3 linked regions of the Arabidopsis thaliana genome follow. The protein of the gene in region 1 interacts with the protein of each later gene in a pairwise test. Each region holds a gene or a part of one and is shown in the gene's direction. Other genes may lie near its edges.

Region 1 (9,435 bases):
ACAAGAAAAGTCCTTTACCCCAGAACAAGTCCTGTTTCAATAACCAGCAAAAACACAACAACCCACTTCAGATTCGAACAGAGAAACTATAAAAACCATTCAAAGTAACAAACTTTAGCAAACCCAGTTACCTTTTAGGTCTTAAACGCATGGAAATCGATGAAACTGTGAGAAATCAATCACTGAGAGAGCTAGTAGATGTAGCTTGATGAACGAGAAAAACAGAGCAGAAAGCGATTAAGAAGACGAAGAAGGAAGAAGAAGAGAGAGAAGCGTAGAGTCAAAGACAGAGCTCCGGTTAAACAAATTATTCCGGCGACTTCAAAGATCCTTTTCTCTCTCACACTCCTCTCAGCTCTTCGAGCTTCCCAAAAGTGAAAAAGAAAAGTGAGAAGATAAAAGATTCAAAAAGAGGAAGAAGAAGAAGAAGAAGAAGATAAAGTAAAGAATCAAAACGAATCGAAAACAGATGACAAATCTATGGCCAAGATTTTTCTGCCTCTCTATTACCAAAGACAAAACTTTTAATTTATGTCGGAAAAATAAAAGAAAGTTATGTAACTGGTAAATTTAAGAGACCGAGGAATTTAAAAAGATGTTAAAAATCTTTTAAGAAACGATTGTTCAAACACAGATCTCAATAAAAATTTATTAAAGCATTAAAAGAAAGAAAAAAAACGAAGATGGGAAATTAAATTCGTTTTTTATTAGCATTTGGTTTTTTTTTTTTGGACAGTTTTATTTCATTTTTTCGGTTAAGATTGGTGAAAATAGTTTTACAATAGGGATAAGGAAAATGTTTTTTAAATTATCACTTTATCATTTTCGTTGGTTTAAAGTATGAATTTTGGATCTTGTGAATTAAATTCTTAATTTGATGTTGATTTTCAATTTAATTACAAATTCTCGTTGACTAAGCCAATTGAGACACAATTTTTTTTCCCGGTATCGTCAATCGACCTAAAGATGAAAGATTACTTTGAATTCGAATAAGAAGAGAAATTCCAAAGAAGATAAGAGATTCTGAAGAAAAATAGAGAAAAACTCAAAAATTTTAATTAGAAAATTTTTTAACGATGTGTCTTAATTGGCTTAGTTAACGAGAATTCGTGATTAAATTAAACGTCAACATAAAATTGAGGATTTAAATCACCAAATCGAGAGTTTATGTTTTAAACCAACGAAAATGGTAAAGTGATGATTTAAATGACATTTTTCCCTTTTACAATATGGTAATAAAACATACTATTTTTGGAATTATATTATGGATATATGGTAAATAAATTTAGTTTGTGAAAGGAATAATACTTTGTATCGAACAAGTTATTATTGTATTGTAATACATTATTCATGAAATTTACTTCTCACTGTTACTGCACTGTGGGTCTTTTAGCTAAGTGAAGTAATAGAATTTTATTTTATTAATAGTATTAAACTACAATAACATATATATTCGTTTTTTAATTAAAAATAAATAAAAGAGAGTGACTAGTAACTACTCCTTCATTGTTTAGTGAATTATTCATATTATTTGATGTGATGTATACTTGTATTCTATAGTAATTTAACTCATTCTCCCAAATTGACTCTTAAACAAAAACATCAATTATAGATTCTGATAATTTTTTCGGCATTCAACAAAAATATCTTACAAAAGATCGACGAGTATAATTCAATACCATTAATTAACATAACAATTTGTGAGGTTAATTAATTACATTAGAGGTAGTTTACTTTGCAGTATCTTGATTGTGCTAAAGAAGAACAATTTCGAACGTGGAGGATTGTTCCATCCCCACATTTGCTAGTTGCTACCAACCGAGGGACTTTTCATCATAATTTACAAGTCTTCTTCCCATCTTTAGTGGGTATAAATAAATACAATTTTTTTTTTTTTTTTTTTTGTGCACCAAATAAATACAATGTTAATGAGAATAATTCACAACTCAAAACGTTTTTGAATAACTCTGTTTTATTTTTTCCACACTCAAGCATTTCATGAAGTCAATGGTCTCTTTTTGGGTCAACTAAGTCAGTGCTTAAGTTAAGTTACTCTGTAATATTCCGTAACATAACATGATCATGATCACTCTAATAACTTGCAAAATCATTTAAGTTCGGTCCGATTTGAACCGATCAATTTAAACTTGTATTTTAGAGGTTAAGCTCATCCATTATTTGATATCTTACACCATGAACGAACATTTGGTTAACCTAAAGAACACAAAATAAAATAAAAATTTCTAACATTTTTTGCTCGATTCTATTTGGTTTCGGTCCTAATAGTTTTGAAACAACTTAAAACAGGTCGCTTCCAGATTAATCCAAAAAGTTAACATCTCTAGATTAAAATTTATATATCAACTTCAAATTTTATGATTTTTTTGTAAGGTTCATTACGATTCGATCGATTAAAAATTTAAAACATTTTTTACTAAAGAAATACCAAAAAAATATTGAAAGTGTCATTTTCTTTCAATTCCATAAAACGAAAGGAACTCCTAATTTCCAAAATTTTGTTTATTCCACAGCTTTTTTAACATATCGCTCGCATTGCCACATTGGTCCAGACCTACTCCCCTTTTTATTTACAAGATTGCCACTTTAAAGAGTTGGATAATTAATTTAGTTTAAACTAAACATTTTTCTGCAACAATATAGTAGGAAAACAAAAAGCTAGAAGAAAAAAGAAAACAGTGAACGCACGCCTGAATGCATGTGATTGCCTACCCTACGTGAAGAAAAGACGATGCAATTACAGAAGTAAGAAAAACATTTTCTCCACCAATATACAATGACCCTTACTAATTATTACTATTTCAACAAAACGTTTCCTACGTAAGGAAGGCAACAGATTCATTTGATGTCATTTTTCAACGACAATAGACAAAAAAAAAGTAAAGCAATAATAAAGTAAAGTTGTACACTACATATATACTTTTTAAAAATTGTTGAAACACAAAATGTGTGCAAATTTATAACAGTGTATACAAAATGGATGTTCAACTACGTCAAAGACTATTCATGAAGAAAAACGGTCGTGACAAAATTTAGACAAATTAACAATATATTAAATAAAAACTTTTAAAATAATTTTAGTATTACAGAAACATTATTAGATAAATTCGCAATATTTTTGTTCTATTGAAAGAAAAACAAAAAAGAAAGAGTAAGGGATCATTACATTGATTTCACACATACAAGTGTCGGATTATCAGTGTCACGTGGTGTTTAAAATGTAGACATTTCACCATGTGGACTAATACATTCATAAATAATGCAGCCATCGACGACGACCATCAAGCAATTTTTATATGTGGAAAGTTTTTTCAAAAATTATTAGTAAGTGGACACGTCAGACAAAACAGAGAGTTGAAAAAAAAAAAACATAAGTGTAGAGAGAGCGAAAGACACAAGTGGAGCTGGTCGGAAGTTGGAAAGTTGGAAACAGCTTAGCCGCCCACGTCGGCCCTACAATTGATTCGACGTTGTTAAGATATAAAGCCCAATTATAATGTACTTAACTAAAAGGCTTTTACTTTAGGCCCATATGTAGATCTTTGTTTTCTTTTGTTAAAAGTTAAAACACCAATATCAATTAGTGCTTACATTATTCGAAAAATCATTACAAATTTACGTGTCATTTTAAATTGATAGTGGAAATAAATAAATAAATAAGACTAGGAATAATAATCGCAAGAAAATCTTCCCCACGTTAACGATGATCACAATTCACAAGTTCTTAGTCTTCCTTATTTATTTGTTGTTTGGCCAAATTTTTTTGGTCTTTGTTAAATTATAAAAATATAGATCTCTATGTATATAAAAATATGGGTAATATTAGAAACTAACTATGAAATGGAAAAGAATTGAGAGAATGACATTGTGTCAGAAAAGTTAGGTAAATAACATTTTCTGAAAAAGAGAAAATACAAAAATATCCTTGTGTTTACTTATTTTTACAATAATGCCATTGGCTTTAGTTATAAAGTTTATATGTATTTGTCTAAAATAGCATGATATATTTACAAAAATCATGCAATTCTTTAAAATACATACAGAATATATATACACGATATATATGTTTCTCTGAAATAATGTGTTTCTCAGAAATAGCACGAAATATTTATAAAAAGCATGCAATTCTCTTATAGATCGCGAAGTTTAAAAAAACATATAGAATTGTTACAATATTACATGGGTTTTTATTGGATAACATGACAAATATTTATTTATTTCATGAGTTTTTATTGGATAGCATGACAAATATTAATATATCAGTGTTAATAACATGTTTTGTTCTTAAAATACATGCATTTTAAAATCAGACATTTGTTTTAAAATCAAATCTAATCTCTTATATCACAACGACATTGACGGAAAATTCAGGTAAAAAGAGAAAATAAAGAATGAGAGATAGAGAGATTTCTATGGAAAAAGAAAGAGAGAACATGTAGGTGAACAAAATAAAGAGATATGATGATATATTTTATGAGAGGTGGTGAAGATTATTTTAGGAGAGGGAGAGAGAAATAGAAAAAGAAAATGACATGGTGAATCTGAAGAAGATGAATTGTGTTAAAGATGAAGAGAGAAAGAGAACTCCATGGCTAAAGTCTCGTAAAGAAGATGAAAAAGAAACAAAAGAAGGAAGAAGAAAGAGAAAGGCTAAAATAGACTAACTATTGCCAAAATTTCTGTAGCCGACAAATACTATTTGGTCCAAGGTTATTTTGTGTATTCTTTTGAAGTCAAAAGTTATTTCTTACATATACTCTAAAAATATAGCCGATACCAATTTTTCCACACATGGACTTCCTTTATTCCAAAAGTCAATAAAGTGTGACGTCATGATACTTACGCTTTAAAACATCGCATGATGATGTCATTAGCATCAATCTCCACCGTCCAATTTATTTAGTTGTTGACAATATCGACCGTCTAAGTTCCACACCGACGGCTATAAGAGTTTCATTATAAATTTTAGCAAAATAAAATCAGCAAATAATTTTTTCTTGACTAAGCTTAAACGACGCCGTTAACATTTTCTTCTGGCTAACATGAACAACTCTTTGAAGAAAGAAGAACGCGTAGAAGAAGATAACGGAAAATCTGACGGTAACAGAGGGAAACCGTCGACGGAAGTTGTTCGGACGGTAACGGAGGAAGAGGTGGATGAGTTTTTCAAGATATTACGGAGAGTACACGTGGCGACACGAACGGTTGCGAAAGTTAACGGCGGTGTTGCTGAGGGAGAGTTACCGTCTAAGAAGAGGAAACGGAGTCAGAATCTTGGGTTGAGAAACTCGTTGGATTGTAACGGCGTTCGAGACGGAGAATTCGATGAGATTAATCGGGTCGGGTTACAGGGTTTGGGTTTGGATCTGAACTGTAAACCGGAACCAGACAGCGTTAGTTTATCGTTGTAGACTTGTAGTCCTTCATGTTTTTCCCCTTCTTACAATAATCAATTTTTTTTTAACTACAATACTTTTGAAAAAAATGGTAAAAGAAGATTATTAACATGTTATCCAAATTTCAGATTCTTCAGTTTTATTTTATACGTCAAAAGAGAAGTTATATATTTGCAAAACTACAAGTCAAACAAAAGCTATTTAAGCGTTTGACGTTCCTAAACAACATAAATTTTACTAAAATCAATGTTTTAAAAAAGTGTTGATGGTAAAGATATCAATTGGGCCTTTGCCTGGCCCGTTTAGTAATATTGCAGAGTAGGTATGGGCCTGTATAAGGGAGTCCAAAAAAAGAGCGGGCATTGCGGGTTGGGTGCGTTTGGAACTTTGGATTGTGGATTAGTCATGGTTTATCTATTAATGTCTGCGGACTTGTGGACGACGCGCTTGTTCTTCTTCCTCTGTTTACGACTTACGAACATATGATCTCTCATCTCTAACAATGATGGAACCTAAAGCCAAGTACGATCGTCAACTCATGTATACTATGTTAGTCTCTTCGAACTCTACATTTGTATTATTCTATCGATCTTCGAACGAATCTTGTTGGGAGGAAATTTTATGAAGTAATCGTTGATTGATTAGGATTTTGAGGTGAAGTCAAGGGACTTTGGAAGAAGCGAGTATCTGTTTACTCAATTGTGGTCCTATTGGTTCCAATGCCTTGAAGAATCTCGTCCTTGGTGGTGTTGGTAGTATCACCATCGTTGAAGGATCCAAGGTTCTAATTGGAGACATTTGGAAACAATTTCATAGGTACTAAGTAATGACTAGTTTTTGATTTTTTTTGTTGCTATTTTTAGATGCTATTTGTGTAGTTAAATAGTTATGACATCTCTTTTTCGTCGTTGTTTGGTTATAGCTGGTGGAAGATTCAATGGTGAACCTAGATATTAACGATGGAGTAGACTGAACAGTTTGTGTTTGGTGATAACACAGAATTACAAAACTTGTGGAATAACCATTTATTACGGTCAAAGTCTCTTGTCTTCAAAGGCATGCAATAGAACAGAAGTTCTCCATAAGCGAAGGTTTCAGAGACGAGAACAACACTGTGTTTCAGAGACGAGAACAACACAGTGTGTTTCAGAGACAACTAGAACAGAACAGGATTGCGGGCCAGACCGTTAGACCAATGGACATTGCGAGGCGAATATGGGCTTCGATTGGTCGCATGTGGTCGTTGGCGGACCGGACCACCACTTATGGAAAAGAAGCACGGGCCATCACGGACCCCCCATTTGGTCGCGTGCTCGCCCGTCTGACATCCCTAGTTGATCGTCATCTAGATTTTAGACGTTTATGTGATATCTAAATAACCGTTTTGGCTGTCTAAAATTCCATAAGTTTTATTTTAGTTTATTTTTTAGTTTTCAACTATATAAATTTAAATTATAAGTTTTAGCTTTGTATATATTGTTTGTTTCCAACTATATAAATTTAAATTATAAGTTTTAGCTTTGTATATATTGTTTGTTTCCAACTATATCAATTTAAATTATAAGTTTTAGCTTTGTATATATTGTTTGCTATGAATTATAAATGGTTTTATCTAAGTTTTGTTTATAATTTCATATTTTTATTTTTCTAAGAGATAGTTTTCTATGAATTTTATTTATAATATAATATTTATAATATGTTATGTTGTAAATGTGTAGCCGCTTAAAATCTCCTAAATCATGATTAGACGTTCTAGGCGTAGATCACCACCTCTTAAGTAGCTAGTTAGATTTAGCAGATTATCCAGTTATCATGCAGATTAATTGTATTAGATAGATTTTGGTAAGATAGGTGAATTTAGCCTAATGCTTTTAAATTTATGTATTTTAAAATTAGTGAATACTGAATACTCATATTTCTTGCTTATGTATTTTGATTAATTTAAAATATACAATTTATTTCTATTAACTTGTTTTTATTATGTTATATTAATACAGAAATATATTTTATTTTTATTTGAAAACTATTTAAACCTCTAAAAAATCGTCTATCCACTAATTGACTAATTGTTCTAGCCCTTTAGGCATTAAGCAGAGAGTTATAGTCCATTTATTGTTTTCTTGACATTGGAAAATACTAATAATGCGTAATTATATTAAAGGGCTTTTGGACCTTGTAAGTTGTAGGTTGGCAGACGAAATTGGACAGAAATTTAGCGCAAGACGAGAATTGTGCAAGTGTGAATCACATCCATCCATTTTAATATGACGTGCTATCTCGTTCTTTCCTATGATACTTTAAGTTAATTGAATAAGTCAAAAGTGGATGATAAGATATAGAATTACTAACACGAAATGATATGATTGAAGCAAATTAACATGTCTTCTTTTTGTTTTATATACATAATTCTCAAATCTTTTTTTTCTTTTAAAATCTATTATATCTTTCTAACACAAACAATATATTAAACGAGTTAAAAGTCTAGTCATTCACAATAGTAGTAGTTGTGGACTTAGGTTGCTAGTCAAGCTAATCTTAATCGAGATATGTATTGGCATGACATATAGCTGTGTATCGAGATATGTACATAGACCTGCACGGCTTTATACATGTGCTGGAAAATCTGATATACAAGGTCTATCCAAAATTTGTCTTTTTTTTTATACGTAAATCTATTACAATTAGGGTCCAACTATTAGAGCATTATAATAGTTGACTATCATCATTTTCTCTTTTCGTAAGGCTTTCATAGTTTTTGCAAATGGCTTTGCTCGAAAACGATTGTTTCGGTTGCTTCCCAACAAAACGCTATACCAAACAAAGAATTACAACTCGAACAATTTTGTCTGGATTACATGGACCGTCCATATTGGCCACATAAATGACGTGTTATACATGAGCATACAAATTAATGAAATGATATAACCTTTTATTTTTTGGGTGCTAAAGTCGTTTTGGGTACAAGTTTATAAGATCCTAATCAATCATCTACACATGGTAAAAAGATTAAATATTTAGTAATTAAGAAATTTCTTTCTTACAGCTATCTGAGCTTGACATAATTTTAACTTTTTAAGATTGCGATATCCAAATCTTCTCAGGTTAATATTTTCCAGACTGAGATAGGTTGCAGAGAGAATTCTCTTTCATAAAATCGTTTTTATTTATATCTATTGTGATCGTAGTTTCAAGTATGTATCTATAATATGTAATACAATAAAATTAAAAATATTTAATAAGTATGTACAATAATAACCTATGACCAAAAAAAGATATGTTTTATAGACTAATTAATTTGCAAATAAGTAAGTTATTTAGATAAAATAATTTGGAAAATATGTTGAAATAATAATAGATATGAAAACATCGCAAAACCAAGTTGAGCATGCTACAATATAAGTTAAAATCCTTGATATATGAAATTGTACGGTTCTATTTCCGGTTAGGTTTTATTTCTGAAAGTTTTGAGATTAAGATAAAGAGAAAGTAAAATTATGTTAGTTGCACCCACAATTCACAAAGCGACTATCAACCTAACCACCGATGATCTAGTAATGTCGGAATCACGTGACGTGTACGGACATTTAAAACTTTTATTGCCTATTGATATATAACCATTAAAGAGAAACTAAAAGCTTTAATGAGCGTTTTAGATTAATTTTTTATATACGAAATATGTTTGGATCCTAATAATCCAAGTCATGTAAACAAATATGCAAGGGTTAGTAAGTACCGACATATATAGTTCTGCATCAAGCTCACAAGCTAAAGAAAATTCGAGTAAACACGAACGAACATTTTGTTGATCTTTTTAGTTTATGACCGATTCCTATAACCATTTATCAGTTTTATTTCTTTAAAGACCTACCGACGTCTGTAATTCAGAATTTAAATGATTTACGAAGTGAGTAGCTTTTCGAAATTCTTATAATTTGAGATGATTAACTTTGGCCGTCATTATTCTGAAGTATTCTCACATATGTAATAATCTTTTCTGTCTAATAACCATATACTATCATGA
Region 2 (11,814 bases), on another chromosome or scaffold:
TTGAATTGGTTTTGATTGAATATATTTTGGTTCCCAGACGTTGCGTGTATTATTTAATGTAAATTCCTTAAATCATTGGCTTATCTATGAATCAATCATTTGCTTAGAAGCAATCTCATGAGTAGCAAGAAAAACGAATTAATCCTTCCCATGTCTTTTATGTTTATATTACAGGATCTGGGTGAAAAAAGAACAGTCTTTTGATTTGGTGTGTTTCTCTTTTCTCTTAATTTTTTAGGATTTTTGTTGTGTCTTAATGAAATAATGGGAGCAGCTGAAGCAAGAGCATTGTGGCAAAGAACAGCTAGTCGTTGCTTTGTTGTTCATGAGGATGCTAAGATGGCTCCGAGGTTAGCTTGTTGCCAACACCAACAATCTTCTTCGGGCAACACCGAAAAAAACAGCTTTTCTTCCGGAAGTTTTGGAGATTCCTCTGATTTCTCTTGTGATACCAAATGGTGGCTTAAGGGATCAACTGGTTTTGATGAGGAGGTTACAAACTCCTTTCTTGAAGATACCAAATGCAAGAAATTGCATGAATTTGTCGACTTAATCGGAATACGAGAAGAAGAAGACTACAGCTTTATTAGCAAGAAAGCTGACGCTACAACACCGTGGTGGAGAAGCACGACGGATAAAGATGAATTAGCTCTCATGGTGGCGACTAAATCGGTTGATCATAATATCCAGAATTGTGATCTTCCTCCACCTCAAAAACTCCACAAGAGTATTCACTCCTCGAGTGGAGAAAAAGGGTTTAAAACAGCGGTTAAATCGCCATGGAAGCAAGGAGTTTGGAAGGATCGGTTTGAGAGATCTTTGAGTTACAATGGTAGCACAGAGAGCAAGAACACGAGTCCAATGTCTTCCCCTAGAAGTGATGATCTAAGCAAAGGTCAGCTTTTAGAAGCACTAAGGCATTCTCAAACCAGGGCAAGAGAAGCAGAGAGAGCAGCGAGAGAAGCTTGCGCTGAGAAAGACCGTGTGATAACAATCTTGTTGAAACAAGCGAGTCAGATGTTGGCTTATAAGCAATGGTTAAAGCTTCTTGAAATGGAAGCTCTTTATCTGCAGATGAAGAAGGAAGAAGAACAAGAGGAACAGGTCAAAGGAATGAATCTGAAGAAGAGAAAACAGAGAGGGGAGAAGAAGAAAAAGGGTGAGACTGGGAGATATATGATGGCTTTTGCATTAGGGTTTAGTCTCATTGGTGCTGGTTTGCTCTTAGGTTGGACTGTTGGATGGTTGCTTCCCTTCTAGAATCTTGAAATGTCTTCTCTTTGGTCACTCATCTTTTCAAGAGTTTTAGGTTTTATAACTTTTCACTTTACCTCTAAAATTGTGTGTATATTTTGTTAATGTATGTATTGTGTGATGTTTGTGTAAATTTAATCTTCTGTAGAAGTTTATTTGGTTAGGGTCTCTCTCTCTCTCTCTCTCTCTGCTACACAAAATTGAGAAGCATCAAACTTGGAAATTCATCAGAAGCTTGAGAATGTTGGAATCAAATAAATCTTATATTTGAGCTGAAAGTTTGCTACAAGTGGACCTCATTTGACCCAATTTTCTAATTAAGGCCCATATGTTTTTCAGACCCAAACTTTTTTATTTTATAATTTCTTTTTAGGGGTTCCAAAAAAATAATAGTATTTGCGTTTTGAACTTCTAAATTCTAAGCATGGTGGAATAAGATTTAATGATTATGGTCTTAGTTGCTTTAAAATTTATCACGGATGTTTAAAATTAAAAGTGTGATCACTTGAATAGTTTGTGTTTATGCATGCTTCTGTGAAATATATACAAAACTTTTTGACTAAATCCCAAAATTCAAATCTGTATAACGAATTCCTTTGATAAATGTGACTTTAAAAGATAATTCCAAAACATTGAAAACATATGTGTTTTAACTTCTTCTTTTTTTCTTTCAAATATCATACAATAGGCAAGTCTGGATGATGAGACGTCAATTACTAGCACCGACGACTAAAATACATGTTTTCATCATCAAATGTCTTTAAAATTCATATCTCTTTTGTTTGTTTGTTCATATCTAAGATAGCAATTAATATACCTCTATCTGTTGGGGTCAAATGTGATATTATATCTCCGTATTTATTATGAATAATGGTTGTAAGAAGCTTTATTGAATTTCCAGCAGAAAGATGTTTTGTTCATCATTGAGTACTACTACTATGGTTCAAAATGAAGCAAAAAATTTCCCGATTTATAATAAACCATAATTCGTTTTTCTTGGATGCTATGATCGATTCCAAACCACTAAATAGCACTAAATTGTTGTTGCAACAAATCCTTGTCTGAAATAATAAATTCGAGTATCGTTTTAGCCGTTATTTTTAAAACACGTGTTGTATTAAATATCTTATTATGTGGTGCCAAATTGTATAATGACGATACAAAGGACAAATGTTAATAATTTCAAATTTCCCACCCAGACAACTCTTGGTTCTATGCTTGTACCATCTCCGCGTCCTCGTCTTGTCGTGTGTCCTACACGAACATACTATTAGACTATTAGTGTTACAGTACTACAGCTTAATTAAAATATGCACATGTCAAAATATTTAAGGACTAACTGGTCAAATAGCCCCAAAACAATTCAAGATTGATTAACTAACATGTTCTCTAAAAGAATTGCTTCAGTAACCTATAATGTGGTATTGAATTCTCGAAAATGCATTTAAAACATCTTTATATGAGCTTACATATAATTGACTTAAATTGTTTGACGGAAATACCGAATTGTATGATGCTGTGAGAAAAACATGAAATACAAATATTCATGTATAGAGTCGAGTTTAGGATTTGATCAAGTGTCGAGCTTAATTAGGACTCGAACTGATAATACAAGAGGTACATATACGGATGCTTCTTTTTTGGACGAAACATATATATGGTTCAGTTCTTAAACACGTATATTCATACCAATCATATATATATTCTGGAAAATGAATTGAGTTCACAATTTCCATGTGTTTCCACGTGGTCAATTTAGGTCGAACTTCAAATGTTTTAGGAAACAACCGTTAAGAAAATCGCTCTACGGATGTATTCCTGTCAGTTAAAATTATCAAATTATGTGGCTTGTTTGCGACTTTGCGTTGTGTGTTTTTTGGCATTCAAGAAAAAGAATGCTGGATTATACTAAATAGGAACCAAAGTAGCATGTAGTGTCGTGATAAACGACGTGACAAATTTTCTCGCCCGCCCGTTTCCTCTTGGTACGAAAAGACTCCGAAGCCTTGGTGATTCGAACTGTCGAAGAGTTAGGTTAAGTCCAAAATGTCAAATGAAGCATGCAGCTTGAAGAGGGCACAATCGTCCTTTCCCCTGATATTTATCCCATATTTAATACATGACGCTAATGGTTAGCTTGAGTACTGAGTAACTTTAAGCGACATTTATAAGTATCAATGAAGCTCGAGTACTGATATTATTAACATCTTGGAATTAAATAGCTCACTATCAGGGGAAAACTGAAAAGCGAACAAAAATTATTGGAAGAAGAAATTATTGCCAACCGTACAGTTACAAGTATAAATGTCGATATATCGACACACCAAAAAAAAACTATTGCATTCACATTTAAAAAAAAAAAAAAAAAAAAAAGATGTATACTAGTATAATAGTATATCTGTCACAAACACATATCAGGAGAACATCTATCACGAACCCCATGACTCATTTAAGGAGTCTTTCTTTTTTTTGTTTTCTATGAAAAAACAAAACAAATTAATATGATAAATATCGATAGTAGTTTTAAAGTAATATTTCATATTGAATATGGATATGGGTCCGAGAAGTTACTATTGCATGAACAACGATAGAAATTGGACCAAACTAGGAATTATGCTAGGTATCGAATTATACTTTCCCTACATAAATAATAATCAGAAGTTAAAAGCTCCAAATGATTAAAAACCATTACTGTAGAGTCTGTACTTATAATCAGTACTCAGTAGCTACATAATGTTTTCAATAAATAAAGAAATTCCTTAAAGAGTTTTTGACACTTAGTTAGTAAAGTTGCACAAATAAAAAGGTTTAGAATAAGTAGCAATACTTATGCAAACAAAAACTGTATATAAGAACATACACTTATACGTATTTTTGTAGATGCGTACAAACCTGATAACTAACTTGAGAAACAGGTATCTAATTATTAATCGCGTAAAACAATAAACTAGAAACAAATAAATGAAAATATACATGCATATGCATTAAATTAAGTGAGCCAACACAATAACGATACAACGTACACGTATAACGAATACGACACAATCGACAGCAACACTCACAGACACGCCATGAACTGATACTGATACAAGTCTCCGTCGACAAGCCACGTGGCATCATCTCCGGCAACAAAAGGCTCCGGCGACCACCCACCTCCACTCATCATAAGCTCAGGCAGCTCAATGCCTTCCCAGAAATCATCTCCGTCGTCTATTCCTGCCACGTCATCATCTCCCATTTTGATGATCTTCACGGCGTTGGCTGCTTTGGCCGCTGCGACTTGGATATCTCTGGGAGTACACGTGGACGGTCGAGGTAGATCCTCGATTTCTTCAGGGAAATTCAGCTGAGCTTTTCTACCTTTTAGACAAAACGCTGCCACGTCGTAGGCCTTAGCAGCCATCTCCGGCACCGGAAAAGATCCGAGCCAAATCCGAGACTTTTTCCGGGGCTCTCTGATCTCAGAAACCCATTTTCCCCATCGGCGTTTGCGAACTCCGTGGTACACTGGATGCCTCGTGGTCGATGAGCTGGTTTCTTTACCTCCTCCGCCGCAAGATTTAACGGCAGAAGCGGTGGCGGTTGGTTCGTTGTTGGTAACTGGTGGTGATGATAGCTTCATTCTCTGTGGTGACATTAAAGAGTTTGTTATGTGGTTAAGTCACACTGTTATCTACATTTATAATCTCATCCAATCCCATTTTCTAACCAAAAGCGTTACTGTTTATTATCTGAATTTACATAAATGCCCCCAACGTACATTTAAATCATAGACTTTCGATTACCGGAATGTAATTTTCCAAATCTACTGCCAAATGGATAGTAGTACGTAGTGTGCGTAATTCTATTTCATATGCCGTAACTAATAATAATGATATACTCTTTATACAAAAAAATAATATACAGAAATCAGTGGGAAGGATTTTCCCTATTTTATATCTGTAGTTTGTCCATGGGTTGTAAATTTCTTACAATAAACAGCTGAATCAAATTAAATCAGTGATAGTTTTAGTACCAAAAAGATGATTTATTAAAATAAAAATTGCGCGATCTTGCATAAAAACAAAATTGAAGAACATGGGGGCTACTGATACCGCCGATGATTAATTAACTTTATATGTCAAATTAAACCAAAAAGTATATATGTCAAATCTTTGTCTCCCCAGCAATCGGGAGTGGTGGTGGGGAAATGCTTTCAATAGCTCATGTACTGGTGACGTTGTGTCCTATAGTTTTAGCACTTCTTTCAACGAATTGGTAAAAATAAGTGTCGATGGCAAGAAAGAGACTAAATAAATCTTATGTCTGAAAAGATTATGAAACTAAAGTCTAAAAGGGTATTAAAAATATATTATGTAGTATGTAATGTTAATAGCTTAGTACAGTAGTACTAGTACACCTACTCACATCTTGACATATCGTAGTGAACTTGTGTATACACGTTGCATATTAAGATTAACACTCAAGTATTTTACTCCAAAATTTGAGTACAAGCTTCAGCCAAAGTTAAAATAAGTATCTGACAGTGGAAAATTATAAGTGTGCTTACAATAATTTATTATTATAATGAAATCACTTTGTTAGGTGTAATTTTGTGTGCATGCATGCCATGATCGTGAAAATATATCTACAAAGAAACCCTTTTCCTTTCCTAATTATTAACTTATTAATTTATTTTCTTTTATATATATGATATACTTGGGCAATGCAGGTCCACATAGGTTGCTTTTAAAAATTAGCATTGATTATTTTTTGAAGGGACCATAGTCTAAACTCTAGTCTATACCACTCATAAATCTGTACTACTCAAAAAAAATGTCTTTCATGATTTTGCATTTTGCTACTATAATTACCATTACAAAAGAATATAAACTTTTCCCATGATGTAGTACGATTATTACAAGAAGAAAAAAATGACAACTAGCTAAAGTTATCATTCTTAAGGAAAGAAAAATTTAAGGTATCACAAGAAAATTCACGTCTTCGTACGGTGATTTGTAATCCCTTAAGCAAAAGGGCAGTTGATAAATATCACCTGAAGTCTATGGTTTCCACATTTTAACCCATCACGTCACTACATATTAACAAGGAACCATTGAAATTTACTTCAAGTAATTAATACTAATATCGCAATCAATTTTTTTATTGAAAAAATTGGGGAAATAGATAGCAAGAGGAGTTACGAAACTCACTTTCTTCTTACATCAGATGAGACCATACACGGCTTTACTATCAGTTTTGTCTCCGGGTGCTTTCGTGTAAACAATTTTAACACTTGTTCGTTTTTAAAACAGTAAGTAACTGAAAATATATATGTATATGTGTGTGACGTATATATGTATATATATATTTCTTTTTTTATTGAGCTTCGAGATTTGTTTTTTTGTTCATACGATGAGCTTTAAGTTTTGGTCGGTTCTTTTTTCCTTTTCGTGAGTTGTTGGTAGATTAAAGTAGTCATCTTATGATTTGTGTTTTTTTTGGTTGTTACCAAAAAGGTGACGATTTTGTTGACGTTAAACACGGAATTCATTGTAACATGAATATATCAACTATAAACGCCAAAATGGGATTTTCTTTTTTTTATAAGGTAACAAAATTAAGGAAAAACTATTGTTACAACTTCAACTTGCAAGTATGTTTCTGAAGCTAGAGTTTACAGTCACGTGTGAAAATCAAACCAATTTGGATCATTATTGAAGATAAATGAATACTTGATATATTGTTAGTACAAATTTAAACAAAGCGATAGGTTTAGTGGCATTCAGAATAAGTTCACCAAGAACCGGCACTACTTTATCCGGGATTAAATCAACTCTTACAATAGAGTTAACTGGACTAATAGGCCGATTTGTTGTGGTAAAACAAAACCAATGAAATATATGATAAGATTGAGATTTAAGAATTCAAGACTGAGTCCGTTGAACAGCCCATTCTAATTCTGATTGCTAGATAAGGGATAGATGGGGGGCATTATTAAGGTTTGGGAAAAAGGCTGATATCACGTTTGACCTAGCACATATGTGGCCCAACATTACAAGAATTCCATAGAAAACCAGTATTGTAATATCGGCCCATATTATATTCTTGACGACTTGGAGATATTGTAAGTCGACGTCGTTGTTTGACTTAGATGGGAATGGGACCCAAACGTCTCGAATAAAGGATAGTTTAAACACGTGAATCACGCGGTCCCCACTTTTTGCTGTGTGTTTCTCACCGCCATACATATATTATACCCACTCGTGACTTCATTTTCCATAATTACTATATATACTAATTTTTTGTTTTAACTTTATCGTTTGTTAAAGATTTTTCCAAAATAATATAGTCATTGTATATTCATTTTCGCAGAGCCGTAGTTTATATTTTGATGATAATTTTATGACTTAAAGAGTGAAAGCTATAAATATATTACAATTCAATTGTGGTTGCGAGAGAATAAACAAAAAGAGAAAGAGAAAAAAAAAACGTTACAGAAGAGAAAGTGCAGAGCTGTGCAGGCGCATTTGAAAATGAAATTAAAAAGAAAAAGAGATCCAAAGAAAATTAAATGCATCTCACGTTCTTCTCATTCTGGTCATCTCTCCTAAATCCACGTGAACTTCACGTGCTTTTCACGCCCTCCTCTCTATCGACTTGGCGTTTCCTTTCTTCTAAAGGAGTTGAATTGTTTTGTCAACATTTATCAAGTTATTTAGTAATTTGTTTTTTTGTTTTGTTTTTAAAAAAATTATTTACTCCCGTTGTAGAACCACCATCAATAATATTACCAAAAATAATAATCAAGGATCTAAACTAAAATAAGCCTTTTATTTTGTATAATTCTGAAAGCATTTGAAACTTAAGGAACAACTCTTTAGTCTTTGCAACAAAACAAAACACAACAAAAACCGAATATTTAAGCCTAACTTGAATGTGAATTGATTTGGTCAAAATTCCCGGTGCTTGACCACCGGTCTTAGTTGGCATACTTTGCAATTATGTAAACAAAAATTTTAAAAATTGAAAGCAAACTTCTAAATTTGGGTTTGGTTTCCCCTTTAGTTATTTCCATGAACATGAGAATCTAATCTCGAGTTGTCAGATAGTATTTGTTTAGATCTACACCAGTTGAGATAGATCTGTTGCAAATTTTTAATTAATCAAAACCCATAATTGAAAATTATGTCAATCAATTATTGACAAAAACCATGACATAATCTAAGGGGTTTTCAATCGTCGTGTATCAAAGACTCGAGACAAAGACTAAATCGAACCAGACCCGGTTTAAGTTTCTAAACTCAATTGTGTAGTTAAGTAGCTAACCATGGTTCAGATGAAAGTCTTTTTGTTTTGTTTTTTGTTTTGTTTGTTGGGGTTTGGTCTTTTAATAAAAAAGAGCACGAAGAACATGCGTCGGACTCTCTCTCTTCCTTGAATTCATTCAATTGGCCACGGCGACAAAACAGGGAGCCGATACAGCGAAACTGATACATCTTTTTTTATTTTCTGGATTCTTAGGGTTCTTTTTCGGGGAATTTAGGTAATTTGTTTGTCCATTTTGGTGGGGTTTGGGAGATTTAAAATTTGTGTTTTTTTTTGGGTCGGATTCTCAAAAATCTGATTTTGAGGAGAAAATCTCGGTGGAAGAGACTTGATTCAAATCTTCTTTACTGGTAAAAATATATTCTTCTCAATTCCTCATTTTCTGTTGGTGGAGTTTGATTTTTGTCATTTAATTGTTGTTAAAGAAAATAGGGGCAAGATCTGAGATCTCTGGGTGTTCCATGCAAAACTGTTATACTCCGCCGTATATTTGCATCTGGGTCACACTTCTAAACCCTATCATTTGACTTAAGAATCGATTTCTGAAGATCTGGGTTTCTTAAAAGTCTTTCCTTTTTGTTGGGATCCAAACAACAAAAGAAAAGAAAGCAGAGATGAATATTGGTCGCCTAGTGTGGAACGAGGACGATAAAGCGATTGTTGCGTCATTACTGGGCAAACGAGCTCTCGATTACTTGCTTTCCAACTCTGTTTCCAATGCTAATCTCTTGATGACTCTAGGAAGCGACGAGAATCTGCAGAACAAGCTCTCGGATCTCGTCGAGAGACCCAACGCTTCTAATTTCTCTTGGAACTACGCCATTTTCTGGCAGATTTCCAGGTCAAAGGCCGGAGATTTGGTTCTCTGTTGGGGCGATGGATATTGCAGAGAGCCTAAAGAAGGAGAGAAATCAGAGATCGTTAGGATTCTAAGTATGGGAAGAGAAGAAGAAACGCATCAGACTATGAGAAAGAGAGTATTGCAAAAGCTTCATGATTTGTTTGGTGGCTCAGAAGAAGAGAACTGTGCTTTAGGACTAGATAGAGTTACTGACACTGAGATGTTTCTTCTTTCTTCTATGTATTTCTCATTCCCTCGAGGTGAAGGTGGTCCAGGCAAGTGTTTTGCCTCTGCTAAACCTGTTTGGTTATCCGATGTCGTCAATTCGGGTTCTGATTATTGCGTTAGATCGTTTCTTGCTAAATCTGCTGGCATTCAGACTGTTGTTTTGGTTCCTACTGATCTTGGTGTTGTTGAGTTAGGCTCAACTTCATGTTTGCCTGAAAGTGAAGACTCAATCTTGTCTATAAGATCATTGTTTACCAGTAGTTTGCCTCCGGTTAGAGCTGTTGCTTTACCTGTTACTGTAGCTGAAAAGATTGATGATAACAGAACGAAGATATTCGGCAAGGATTTGCACAATTCAGGGTTTCTTCAACATCATCAGCATCACCAACAACAACAACAACAACCACCGCAACAGCAACAGCATAGACAGTTTAGAGAGAAACTCACGGTTAGAAAAATGGATGATAGAGCTCCCAAGAGATTAGATGCTTATCCGAATAATGGGAACAGGTTTATGTTTTCGAACCCAGGCACCAACAACAACACTCTTCTGAGTCCTACTTGGGTTCAACCTGAGAACTACACGAGGCCAATCAACGTGAAGGAAGTTCCAAGCACGGATGAGTTCAAGTTTTTACCTTTGCAGCAATCATCGCAGAGGCTGCTTCCTCCTGCTCAAATGCAGATAGATTTCTCTGCTGCGAGTTCAAGGGCTTCAGAGAATAATTCAGATGGAGAAGGAGGAGGGGAATGGGCAGATGCAGTGGGTGCTGATGAATCTGGTAACAACAGACCAAGAAAACGCGGAAGGAGACCTGCCAACGGAAGAGCGGAAGCTTTGAACCATGTAGAAGCAGAGAGGCAGAGGCGTGAGAAGCTTAACCAGAGGTTTTACGCTCTGAGATCCGTTGTTCCCAACATATCCAAGATGGACAAAGCGTCCTTGTTGGGAGACGCGGTTTCTTATATAAACGAGCTTCACGCGAAGCTAAAGGTCATGGAAGCAGAGAGAGAGAGGTTAGGGTATAGCTCAAATCCACCTATCAGCTTGGATTCAGATATAAATGTTCAAACCTCAGGTGAAGATGTCACAGTGAGGATAAACTGTCCGTTGGAGTCTCATCCGGCTTCCAGAATCTTCCATGCGTTTGAAGAGAGTAAAGTAGAAGTGATAAACTCGAACCTGGAAGTTTCTCAGGACACAGTGTTGCATACGTTTGTAGTCAAATCTGAAGAATTAACGAAAGAGAAGCTGATATCGGCCTTGTCTAGAGAGCAAACAAATTCAGTTCAGTCAAGAACATCATCAGGTAGATAGCCTTTTGAGAGACAGAAGAAGGTGGAAGTAAGTTTGTAATCAAGAACCGGTTTTGAATGGTTCTTTTTTTCTTCTAGGTATCTTTTGTTTTTACCTTTTTTTGGTTATATACCTGTAAGAATCCTCCAAACTAGGATTTTAGAAGTTTTATTGACAAAAGTAGACATTATCATTTACTCGTTTTACAGTGGACAAAGCTGGGAATTAAGTAATTAACGATAATGTTGTATCTGTTAAAGTCGTAGACTAGCTCATGAATCAGTCTTTATTCATTCTGATATGTCCTATGTGTTGGATTTGGTGAAGTGTTTAATCGACAAGTCAGATAAGTGTTATGGATTGGTCACGGAATTGCTCAAGAACAACAAAACACAGCTGATTCATTGCTTGTGAACAAGAGGAAACACTATGATGTTCGTGCACACCATTTTTAGTGTTCAAACTAACATAAACCGTTATCGCCTGGGGAAAACAAAAGTTTTAAGAAGAGAAACAGGTGGAAAATGTAACAAAAATAAAAATAGGTTCCACCGAGACTTGAACTCGGGTTACTAGATTCAGAGTCTAGTGTCCTAACCGCTAGACCATGGAACCGCTTGATGTTTAGATTGCAGTAAATACGTTTTTAATATGTTTCTCTATTGTGAGTCAAAGGGTAATGCGATGTTTCTTTCTAGATTTCCTAAGCTAACTCAGTCCTAATAAACCGATTAAAAAGAACATGAACAAAGCATGCAGATCATAAAAGTGTCACACAAAGAGAGAGATACATGTTAGATTGTTTTTTTTTCTTCTCTTAAATGATAATTAATCGTTCTAACAAAAACTTAGCTACTAGTCTTCCATGATTTGTTATATATTGAGA
Region 3 (11,434 bases), on another chromosome or scaffold:
TGACATTCCGCCACACCCAAGCAAAGCTGCCCCGAAGCAGTTAAGCTGAAGCTTGACGCTTCTTTGGAGCATAGATCCCATAAACTCTGCGGCTAGAAGATCTACAAGTGCCATATAAATGAGCAATCCTGCAGAACAAGCATTGAGCAGTCCTACCGTGATTAATGCTGTTGGACTGTTGTCTTTGTAAACGCTCGACAAGGCTATACCAAGAGCGATTCATGATGGTGTTGTAACAGCAAAGAAGAAGGCCATCACAAATTTCTTCACATTTGTATATTCTGCCTGTTCAAAAAGAATTTGTATATATTTCTCAAAATTCTATATGTTTCTATCATCATATGTTCAACACTCTTTTATCGAAAATATATAGATTTATCAAAAGTTGCGCGTATTTACATAAAATTCAGATTAATATCCTTCAATCTATATGTTTGTGTTATGGTCAATTCTTTTAGATTTGATAAAGAACAAAATATTATGATTCTATTTGCTTATATATAATAATTTTATCTTTATTTTGAAATCGTTGTTTGTAGCTTTTACGGTTTTGTTTAGTATTGTTTTGGACCACATATAAAAAAAAGGATATTAAGAAAATATTGTACCTGAAGGATGCAACCGCCGAGACCCATCCCTTCGAACATTTGATGGAAGCAAAGAGCTGCAATAAGGCCTTTAATAGTGCATGTGTCGTTGGTTGCACCTAGAGATAGTCCAATGACCACGGAGTGAACTATTATCCCAAGCTCCAAGACCTAATTTTACACATAAGATTTTTGAATATGTGAATAAAATATTTAATATTGATAGTGTTTTCGGAAGTATGTGTATACATATGTTAAAGAAACAACTAAATGAGATTGTAATAAAGGCTCAACTAACCGTGGCGATAACTCGGTACCGCAATAGTTGTTTTGAGCATGTAGAGCTACGTTCTTTAGTTGTTAGAGGCAAATGATCGATTTGAATTATCATAGGAGTAGTCCTTTCTTCGCTGTCATCAGCGACAGCTTTCTTGGTGTAGAGACTTGTAGCGATAGAGTCAATAGCAAGAGTTACAAGACCGGACAACATAGCGACAAAGCCAGTGAAGGGAAACTTGTGCCATGGATTGTCTTCAAGACATGGAGAGGACAACATCTCGAAAGAATCGGGCAAAACATGCATGAAGCCGGTTCCTAGGATGATCCCGGATGCAAAACACTTAATGATCATAAAGATTTTACCATCTGGATGCAGGAATGTGACATATCGGCTAAAGAGAGGAGCTGCGACTCCGATCATGCTTGTCACGAGGATGGCAACGATTGCTACAATTTTGAGAGGTAAGGCTTTGGTTTTATCGATGCAAGAGTCTGTTGAATCGGTCTCGCATTCTTTTGGAACCGTTGAGATCGCCGGAGAGATTGCGAAGGAGATTAGGAGGAGTACGAGGAAGATTTGATTCATGTGTTGAGTAGTCGTAGCCATTTTTCAATTTTGGTTTTGTTAGTAAACGAAAATAATGTGTTATTTTGCCTCAAATCATATGAAGTTTATGACTCATATATATACGGATTATATATAATGTTCCGGCTTGTTGATATTGACATGCATGGGATATTATTCGTTTTATATCTACGAACAAAAAATAACGCATGACACACGAGTCAATATTAATGTAGATTAGAAGTATAGTTATGTGAAATGTAATCTAATCTTATCTTTAAAATGAACATTTTAAACTTCATATGCATATAGATATGCCAAATATAATTGACATTATTATTTTTTATGTAGTATCATATATTCCCTTTGTGTACTTCATTCCATGGAATTTCATCATGGCCAGGATCACGCCGATCAAGGATTTAAGCTTCATTCATGCTTTTGGATGTATCGGTAACAAGTCAACGTTAGTTACACGATTAAAATAAAGTTTCGTTAATCTATAAGACTAGAAATATATTAGATTCTAAATTCTGAACATATATTTGAAAGAACTATGATACAGTTGTTGATTCAGACCAGAAGAAAAGTTATTAGTTGTGAATTTGGATAATCAAGCTAATGATTATTATATTTATTTTCCATTTTCAAGTATATTACCGAATGAAAACTAGGTTTATCAAAGCTGGGCCAGACCTAATTGGAAACCCCCCTCACAGCATCAGGCCCATTAATTTCTGTAAGCCGAGTTTTGTTTGAGCTTATATGCTTTAGATTCTTTTTTCATTTATGGACGAAATCTTCTTTTCTTTCAGGTTAAAAATTTAGAATCTGATCAGTGATCCATTAATGGTTAGCATCGGGCCCATTAGTAAAGAAACGTTAGAATCTTATCAGTGGTCCTCTGTGACAGCATTTTCAACTCGATCCTCATTGTAATGGACGTTTAATCTGAGCAAGAACTGTCCGATCTCGGTTGCTTTCAATGTTTCTTAGCACATCGGATGGAGTTGTTTGTATATGTCGTAAACGATAGGAAAGAGTACAACCAATGAATGGTGAAATGGTACGGGTAAATCTACAATTTACAAACACATTCTCCAACTGTTAACTTCTACTTCGAGAGACAAGACTACAAATAAACTCTTCTAATTGGATGGCAATCTACAATCGATGATATTTGAACGGAACAAAACTAAGTGGGAAAGCTTCATTAGTTACTTACATAAATAGTTTCATTAAATTGACTTGTTGTATGTTGTTATTGACAAGTAGCTGCGGTTTATTCCTACCAAATTGTTGGTTCTTTACAAAGAAAATAGTTTGTTCAAAACTCTGTATGCCTTTTATTTTTACTTTATTTATGCAAACCTTTTCACATAGAGTATTTTGACACGATTAAAAAACATTGTTGTATATGACCCGGTCCAAGCCACGCCAAGTCTCTTTTAATACACGAAAACTCAAATATCAAAGGTGGAAACGCATGTTATATAAACTTTTTTAATTGATATTATATCAAATTATTCGATATTATAAAAAAATTACATAAGGAGACTTTGTATGATAAACCATATATTCCGCGTAGCTTCTCAGCAGGAACTAGGAAGCATCACCGACACTGACACACCACCCCATTGGATCGATGCTTCAATTTTTATTTCCAGTAATACATTTACATGAGTCATCAAGGTTGTTTTCTCTTCCAAAATATAAAAAAGTTCATCATATACAGGTTCATACATTTTAGATGCTTTGGGACAAATTTAAAAGATATATTCCTTAATATCATAATTTTTTTATATACTTCTTCTTTTAACAAAAACATTAGGTGCCTTTTGAGTATATACAAAAAACAAATTGTGTCCATCTTGTATAGATTTTTTTTTTTGTGCCCTATAAATTTATGTATATGTAGTTATGTACCCTATAAGTTTATATTATCGGCCCCTATAGTTAAGCCGGCATTGACTATATATTTTTATGGAAAATTTAAGAGTTTTCTTTTTGTTTTGTTATTTTTCTTTTTAATTGTTTCATCAAGTTAAGTTTCGTTTCCAATTCCTCTTAGAATGATTTTTATCTCTTGTGTTAGGTCACGCTTTACTAGTTTACACTCCTCTTTAGAATGATTTATCTCTTGTATGAGTTTTGTTTTTGTCTTTTTGTTAAGAATTTAAATATTCCACTAAAATGAAAAGTGTTAGGATTTTCATGAAGTAAAGCCTGAAGTTTTTGGTCTTATGGCAAAAAAAGAAAAAAACATGAAAACAAAAGAAATCAATCCATTGACATCAACAAAACAAATTACGTTTTTGAGTCATAAAGTGATATAACAATTTTGAATAACTACCAATATATATGTCCTCAATCTTGTGTGAGTTCAAGGCTTTATGGGTTACATCGTTATACTTAGTTTATGTAAGAAATTTGTAAATTTGAATGGGTTAAAACTTCTGATCTAAATAACGAATTGGTAGGAAACTTTTTTTTGTCTTGTTAATATTTGATGGTTTTAGCCAAAGTAATACATAAAATAATTATTTAGTGACCAAAACTTATCGCATATTTGATGATTTAAGCCATAGTAATATGATTTGTATTAGTGACGTTGATGGTTTAATATATGATTTAGTGATACTTAGTGAACGAAAGATACAAATTAACATATGGTTTACCAAAGTAACGCAGCGTCACTAGTGACCAAAACTTAGCGTATATTTGATAGTTTAAGTCAAAGTAATATACTAATATGATTTGTATTAGTGACGTTGCATTGTCACTATCCAAGTTTACACTTATATGTTATTTTTTGTTAAAAATATATATTTATAGTTAGAATTCTATATTCGATAGCATTACCGAAAGTCGAAAATTTAATCATAGGAATCATTGCCAATCGAAATAATGCTAATTAAATTTTATTTCATATAAAAATTTGATGAATAAACTATTCAACGACTATCCTTAAAGAGTTTTTTTTTTTTTAATAGTCAGCTAACGCATTTCACCGATTGTATTTGTAGCCTTGTAGGTAGAGTCGAATTTCCGACGCGACTAGAATGCTAGCATAAGAGACTTCACCACTTTGTTACGAAGCCAAGAATCTTCTTGTTTTAAAAAAAAAAATCAAGACAAAATTGTCGTCCCTCATATCTATATTCAATTCATTTCAAAACGTTATTTATGTCTTAAAATTTGGAACTAGGCCACAAAGAATGACTTTGGTCATCACAAAATTATAAATTTAATAAAAATTTGGACCACTATAGGCATAGCTATTGCCTATTATAATCTCTACTATTACTTTATGATTTATCTACTATTCCGAAAGTGTAATTGTTTAATACGTCATCACATTGCAGCAATCCACACACAAGCCACGTCATTCATATGCCGTTCGTATTTGCTTTCGTCACTTCCTTCCGTCATCAATAGTGACGGCTATTTCTTAATATTAATCTTCTTGACTTAATGCTATTTCGTGACGGCATTAATTGGCATATCATTACAAGTTATTTACACCTAAGAAACAAATTAAAACTATTGAATAATATGATGTAAATAAAAATATATTAATGATGTGATATATCGCAGTCAAATAAAAATAGTGATTTTGATGAGAAAAAAAATATGTGTTTATCCATAGATTTGTTAAATTAGAGAAAGATGTGGAAAATGTTAGTGAGTGGCGTCATACACGGAGAACCTTTGGCATCATACACGGATTTTTCTAGTCTTTGTTTTCTATTTGTCAACTTTCATTTGAGTCTTTCTTTATACACTTTATTAGACCATGTTTTTAATTCTAATGCTTATTAATTCATATTATTAAATTTACAAAAAAAACTATTATATTAACTCTCTTGTTTCCTCTGTATCTTCCTTCACATTGAAGCTGTCTCTTTCTTTCACCATCACTTGCACCTGTTGTGTCCTGTTTGTTCTCAATTTCATCATCATTTATCCTTTATATACCTCTCTTTCTTTCTTGACTTTTCCTCTAAATTCTCTTCCTTTTTATCTCTTTGATACATCTCAATTTGGTTCTTTTGCCTTCTCTTTGATCTTATCTCTTACGATTGTGCAGATCTCAATCTCTATATCCTTGGTTGTGTCAGATTCTCTTAGGGTTTATTTTCTCTCCCAATTTTGTTTGATTCCTTGTCCAAAGTTTCTTCCTTTCCTTTTGACTTTTTTTTGTGGTACATTGAATCAGAGGTGTAAGAGTAATAGTTTCATAACTCAAATCCCCAAGTGTACAAATTTTCCTCTTTTGGTTCTGGGTTTGGTTGATTCCTTGTTAGAAATGTAAATTTAGGGCTTTTGTATCTGAAACCGATCTTCAGACTTGTGTAATCTTCTTGATCTTCATGCAAGATTGATAATTCTACAAGAAGAAGAAGAAGAGAAAATGGCTACTTTGACTGAGCCATCATCATCTTTGAGTTTCACATCTTCTCATTTCTCTTATGGTTCTATTGGGTCCAATCACTTCTCATCAAGCTCAGCTTCTAATCCTGAAGTTGTTAGTCTAACCAAACTCAGCTCCAATCTTGAGCAGCTTCTTAGTAATTCAGATTGTGATTACAGTGATGCAGAGATCATTGTTGATGGTGTTCCAGTTGGTGTTCATAGATGCATTTTAGCTGCAAGAAGTAAGTTTTTCCAAGATTTGTTTAAGAAAGAAAAGAAAATTTCGAAAACTGAGAAACCAAAGTATCAGTTGAGAGAGATGTTACCTTATGGAGCTGTTGCTCATGAAGCTTTCTTGTATTTCTTGAGTTATATATATACTGGGAGATTAAAGCCTTTTCCATTGGAGGTTTCGACTTGTGTTGATCCAGTTTGTTCTCATGATTGTTGTCGACCTGCCATTGATTTTGTTGTTCAATTGATGTATGCTTCCTCTGTTCTCCAAGTGCCTGAGCTAGTTTCATCTTTTCAGGTGTGTGAAAAGTCTTCTTTTTTCTTCGGTCTCTTTGTTTCTTAATTCATAGACCTCAATGAGAACTAAAAGGTTTGTGTGCTTGCAGCGGCGGCTTTGTAACTTTGTGGAGAAGACCCTTGTTGAGAATGTTCTTCCCATTCTTATGGTTGCTTTCAATTGTAAGTTGACTCAGCTTCTTGATCAGTGTATTGAGAGAGTGGCGAGGTCAGATCTTTACAGGTTCTGTATTGAAAAGGAAGTTCCTCCCGAAGTAGCAGAGAAGATTAAACAGCTTCGACTTATATCCCCGCAAGACGAAGAAACCAGTCCCAAGATTTCGGAGAAATTGCTTGAAAGAATCGGTAAAATTCTCAAGGCCTTGGATTCAGATGATGTTGAGCTTGTGAAGCTTCTTTTGACTGAGTCAGATATCACTCTAGATCAAGCCAATGGTCTGCATTATTCTGTTGTGTATAGTGATCCGAAAGTTGTTGCCGAGATTCTTGCTCTGGATATGGGTGATGTGAACTACAGGAATTCCCGGGGTTACACGGTTCTTCATTTTGCTGCGATGCGTAGAGAGCCATCGATCATTATATCGCTTATCGATAAAGGCGCCAATGCATCTGAGTTTACATCTGACGGACGTAGCGCAGTTAATATATTAAGAAGACTGACAAATCCAAAGGATTATCATACCAAAACAGCTAAAGGGCGTGAATCTAGTAAAGCCAGGTTATGCATCGATATCTTGGAAAGAGAAATCAGGAAGAACCCCATGGTTCTAGATACACCAATGTGTTCCATTTCTATGCCTGAAGATCTCCAGATGAGACTGTTGTACCTAGAAAAGAGAGGTAATTGACTGAAAATTACTGAATTCTTCTGTATCTTTACTACATTTTTGTTAAAGCTTCTACCTTTTTTGCAGTGGGGCTTGCTCAGTTGTTCTTTCCAACGGAAGCTAAAGTTGCTATGGACATTGGTAACGTAGAAGGTACAAGTGAGTTCACGGGTTTGTCACCTCCTTCGAGTGGGTTAACCGGAAACTTGAGTCAGGTTGATTTAAACGAAACTCCTCATATGCAAACCCAAAGACTTCTTACTCGTATGGTGGCTCTAATGAAAACAGGTAACAAAAAGCTTGCTCTCTGTAAGTCTACCCTTCATCTTCTTATGTTGCTCATTTTCTCTTGACTGACTTCATTACCGTTTCACAATGCAGTTGAGACTGGTCGAAGGTTTTTTCCATATGGTTCAGAGGTTCTAGATAAGTACATGGCTGAGTATATAGACGACGACATCCTCGACGATTTCCATTTTGAGAAGGGATCTACACATGAAAGAAGATTGAAAAGAATGAGATATAGAGAGCTTAAGGATGATGTCCAAAAGGCATATAGCAAAGACAAAGAGTCTAAGATTGCGCGGTCTTGTCTTTCTGCTTCATCTTCTCCTTCTTCTTCTTCCATAAGAGATGACCTGCACAACACAACATGAAACTGCACCATAAGTCAAATGTAATTAGATATCTTTGTTAAAAGGGTTTTTTCTTTATGGATGTTACTCAGATTTTATACAGATGCTTTAGGTTCAGTTTCAATAAAGAGAGATGGATAGATAGATGTACAAGATTAGGAGTGCTGATTAACCCAAAACGTTCTAACTATACGCAATCTTTTGTTTTCAATACAAAAATCTAATATTTAGGTTATCTACAAGATATTCTCAGATACCTGAAACTTAAACAAACAAAGACACTCCACAAAAAGTCAGGAAAAAACATGATCATTTGTCAATCATAGCTATCTCTTTACATAATTACAGAAGATAAGACTACTGGTGGCTAAGAGTAAAGAACAAAAACCATTCTTCCAAACAACCTGTAATAATGCATTCTGAACAGAACTGTCACATGTATGTCCCAGTAAGTAGATGTTAGCTGCTCTCTTTGGCATAGGGTCGGGGCAGGGGCTTGTCTGACCAATACTGTCTATCTGTCTTCTTCAACAAAGAAAGCATTTCAAGTTGCATTATATGTTAAGTGTGCCTTTCCAACATCGTAAAGCAATAGAAGAATATTGTACCAACGAAGGACTGTGCCTTTCCAATTTGTCACTCTGTTCAGTCCAGTCTAAAATTCACTTCACTGAGTTCAGTGGCGTTTCAACATTACGGAGAGCCTTTGTTCTTTCAGCTTTCTCGAAGTCCTTCCTTGTTCGTTTGTTGGCATCTATATCTATACTGATGAGTAGAGAGGTACAATCAAATCCACAGGCGGAAATACTTCACTATGCATCGACATATTCTGTGATCCTCTCCATCGCACTGAGAATTTCCAGGTTTCACTGGTTGTGAGCTAAGCAATGAGAAAATGTTATAGATCAACAGACATCTGCACTAGATTGAAGATAACGTTATATCATTGAACGGACCAGTTAATCAGGTAGATGCTTTCTTTATATTTTCCCAAGTAGCTGGACCTTCCGGGTGGGTATTGACAAAGTATGGCACAATAAGGGTATTAGAAATACCGACAACAGTGCCTAGTGTCAGCCTCGGTATTACTGCATCTCTTTCCCTCAACCAAATGTACATTGTGAATCTCTGATGTATTCTCTTCATACTATAACACAAATATGTTGGGGACTCTATCACGGATTCTATTGGATAAACCAAATAATCTATTAGCATAATGATCTTCTTTTCTATGATATCTTTCGGCCGGTTAAGTATATGAGGCGCCCGCTTAACAAGCTGGCTAACCACATTATAGTCCAAACCAGCCTTCACAAAGCAATCAAATCTCTCCTGTAGCTCATCTCCCCTCCCTTGGAACTTTTTCAGAGCCCTCACCATCTCATCGGAATTCTCTACATACCCTAACTTCAACAAGAATGTCGTCTTCTCTGCATTCCTCGAATCCAGTGAATCAAGTTCAATTCTACCTTTATTAGTTTTAGAAGCTATACTGAACAATCTCAAAGGCTCTTCCTTAATGATCTGACATAACTCATCTCTTCTGATTTTCAATCTATTCCAAACAGCTCTAGGTACTAGCAAAGAGGATGAACAGATATGCTTCATGTGACACTGTAAAAACCTAACGACAAACTGCTTTTCTATTCTGATACATTTCAAGAATTTCAACGCCTCTAAAATTCTTTTTACAGATTTCTCTAATAACATCTCGGAGTTGTCTATCAGTAATTTATCAATTTCATTCATCTGAAGTCCAACTTTATGAAACTTTTCAAACATAATATAAGCTTTATTGCCAGAAGTTTCACCTACCAAATCTGGATACGCTTTTAAAAGATTACTCAACTTCTTCTCTTTAAACCCCACCTTCTCAAGGAGCTCCATTGTCTCAAGAATCCGGCGCCAGTTATATGTTTTTCTAACTGACAAATACCGCGCAAGCCAATCGCATCCTAAGTTTAATCCCTTCAACTTATTTACCACAGAAACAAACTCACAATCAATGCCACCAACCAGAAGCAACGGGCAACAAGTAACAAGCTTAATGACTATAGCCTTTCTAAGAACCAAGATCTCATAAGGTTCAAGTTTCGATGCCAAAACCCCATTCTCGTATACAAAAATCTCTCTTGCTTCCTTATACAAACGACCAATCTTGTCACGGGGAATCCCATAATAGCAAAGAACATGAAAGTTCTCAAACATGGTACTGCCATCACTCAAAGCACCACATTCCGTTGAATGAAACGCAAAATATCAGATGGACGCAAACCCAAACTCTCGAAAAATGGTTCAAACTCATTGATGGGATTGTTGAAGAATAAAGTCCGTTGCTTTCAGTTTCAGTTTGAATAAGTCTTATGACTTTGTTTGTCTTTCAAATAACATCCCTAAGTATTAGGAGATAGACTAGCATTTCAGTTCCGTTTATTTAGCAGTCTGTTGCATTCTTGTTATCTTTGTAACTTGATCTATTTAAGATCTCTATCGTCTATGAGAATAACACACAAGTTACACATTTGTTCTCTGAGTCACTAGTTCGTTTACAACAAGTGGTAGCAGAGCTTTTGTTCTTAAACGCTCAAAGAAATGAGTGAGAAAGATGGTTTGAGCATTCCAAAATTCGACGGAGATTACGAACACTGGGCAATGCTCATGGAGAATCTCATGAGGTCCAAGGAGTGGTGGGATCTCATTGAGCATGGAGTTATGCAGCCAGAGAGAAACGTGATCCTGACGGGAGCCCAAAGAACAGAGCTTGCAGAGAGTAAGCTCAAAGATTTGAAGGCAAAGAATTACTTCTTTGCTTCAATCGACAAGGCAACTCTGAAGACGATTGCAAAGAAGGACACAGCTAAAGATATTTGGGAGTCCATGAAAACAAAGTACCAGGGGAACAAGAAGGTTCAAAGCGCCCAACTGCAGAGACTGCGAAGGAACTTTGAAGTGTTAGAAATGAAAGAGGGAGACACCATTGATGGGTATTTCTCAAAGGTGATGGTGGTGGCAAATGACATGAGAAACCTTGGTGAGAGCATGCCGGATGCAAAGATTGTTGAGAAAATCCTGAGAACATTGGTGGAGAAATACACATATGTGGTGTGTGCAATTGAGGAGTCAAATGACATCACAGAACTCTCAGTGGATTCATTGCAGAGCTCACTACTAGTGCACGAACAGAAGCTGAGTAGACATGGAGATGATGAGCGTGCACTTAAGATTGAGGGCAGGTGGGATTCTAGTGGAGGAAGAGGTCGTGGTGGACACCAAAACCGTGGAAAAGGAAGAGGAGGATATCAAGGACGTGGCAGAGGTAGCACAAACTTCAACAAAGAAACAGTGGAGTGCTACAAATGTCACAGACTGGGGCATTTCAAATTCGAATGCCCGGAGTGGGAGAAGACTGCTCATTATGCAGAACTGGAGGAAGATGTTCTGCTCATGGCGCATGTTGATATTCAAAGAGCAGGAAACGATGAGGTCTGGTTCTTAGATTCGGGGTGTTCGAATCACATGTGCAGCACAAGAGAGTGGTTTGTGGAGTTTGACTCAACATTCAAGCATAGTGTTAAACTTGGAGATAACAGGAAG

What was found.
Region 2: the proteins of NIMIN-2 (region 1) and AT1G01260 interact in binary tests that used the Arabidopsis thaliana proteins (3 or more experiments, as listed by UniProt).
Region 3: the proteins of NIMIN-2 (region 1) and NPR3 interact in binary tests that used the Arabidopsis thaliana proteins (3 or more experiments, as listed by UniProt).

The regions. Positions count from the first base shown.
Region 1 is NC_003074.8:9,466,515-9,475,949, reverse strand, and holds NIMIN-2 (NIM1-interacting 2), read left to right. Parts: upstream 1-4,910; 5' UTR 4,911-5,060; coding exon 5,061-5,429; 3' UTR 5,430-5,593; downstream 5,594-9,435. Other genes in the region: AT3G25880 (NAD(P)-binding Rossmann-fold superfamily protein), read left to right, coding at 5,917-5,963, 6,075-6,230, 6,337-6,358.
Region 2 is NC_003070.9:100,419-112,232, forward strand, and holds AT1G01260 (basic helix-loop-helix (bHLH) DNA-binding superfamily protein), read left to right. Parts: upstream 1-8,527; 5' UTR 8,528-8,912; exon of another isoform or gene 8,913-8,987; 5' UTR 8,988-9,176; coding exon 9,177-10,949; 3' UTR 10,950-11,281; downstream 11,282-11,814. Other genes in the region: AT1G01240 (uncharacterized protein), read left to right, coding at 265-1,260; AT1G01250 (Integrase-type DNA-binding superfamily protein), read right to left, coding at 4,313-4,891.
Region 3 is NC_003076.8:18,223,474-18,234,907, forward strand, and holds NPR3 (NPR1-like protein 3), read left to right. Parts: upstream 1-5,294; 5' UTR 5,295-5,845; coding exon 5,846-6,379; intron 6,380-6,467; coding exon 6,468-7,218; intron 7,219-7,292; coding exon 7,293-7,493; coding exon of another isoform or gene 7,494-7,558; exon of another isoform or gene 7,559-7,586; coding exon 7,587-7,861; 3' UTR 7,862-8,105; downstream 8,106-11,434. Other genes in the region: AT5G45113 (mitochondrial transcription termination factor-related / mTERF-like protein), read right to left, coding at 8,804-10,048. UniProt on the Arabidopsis thaliana protein: Salicylic acid (SA)-binding substrate-specific adapter of an E3 ubiquitin-protein ligase complex (CUL3-RBX1-BTB) which mediates the ubiquitination and subsequent proteasomal degradation of NPR1 in response to SA.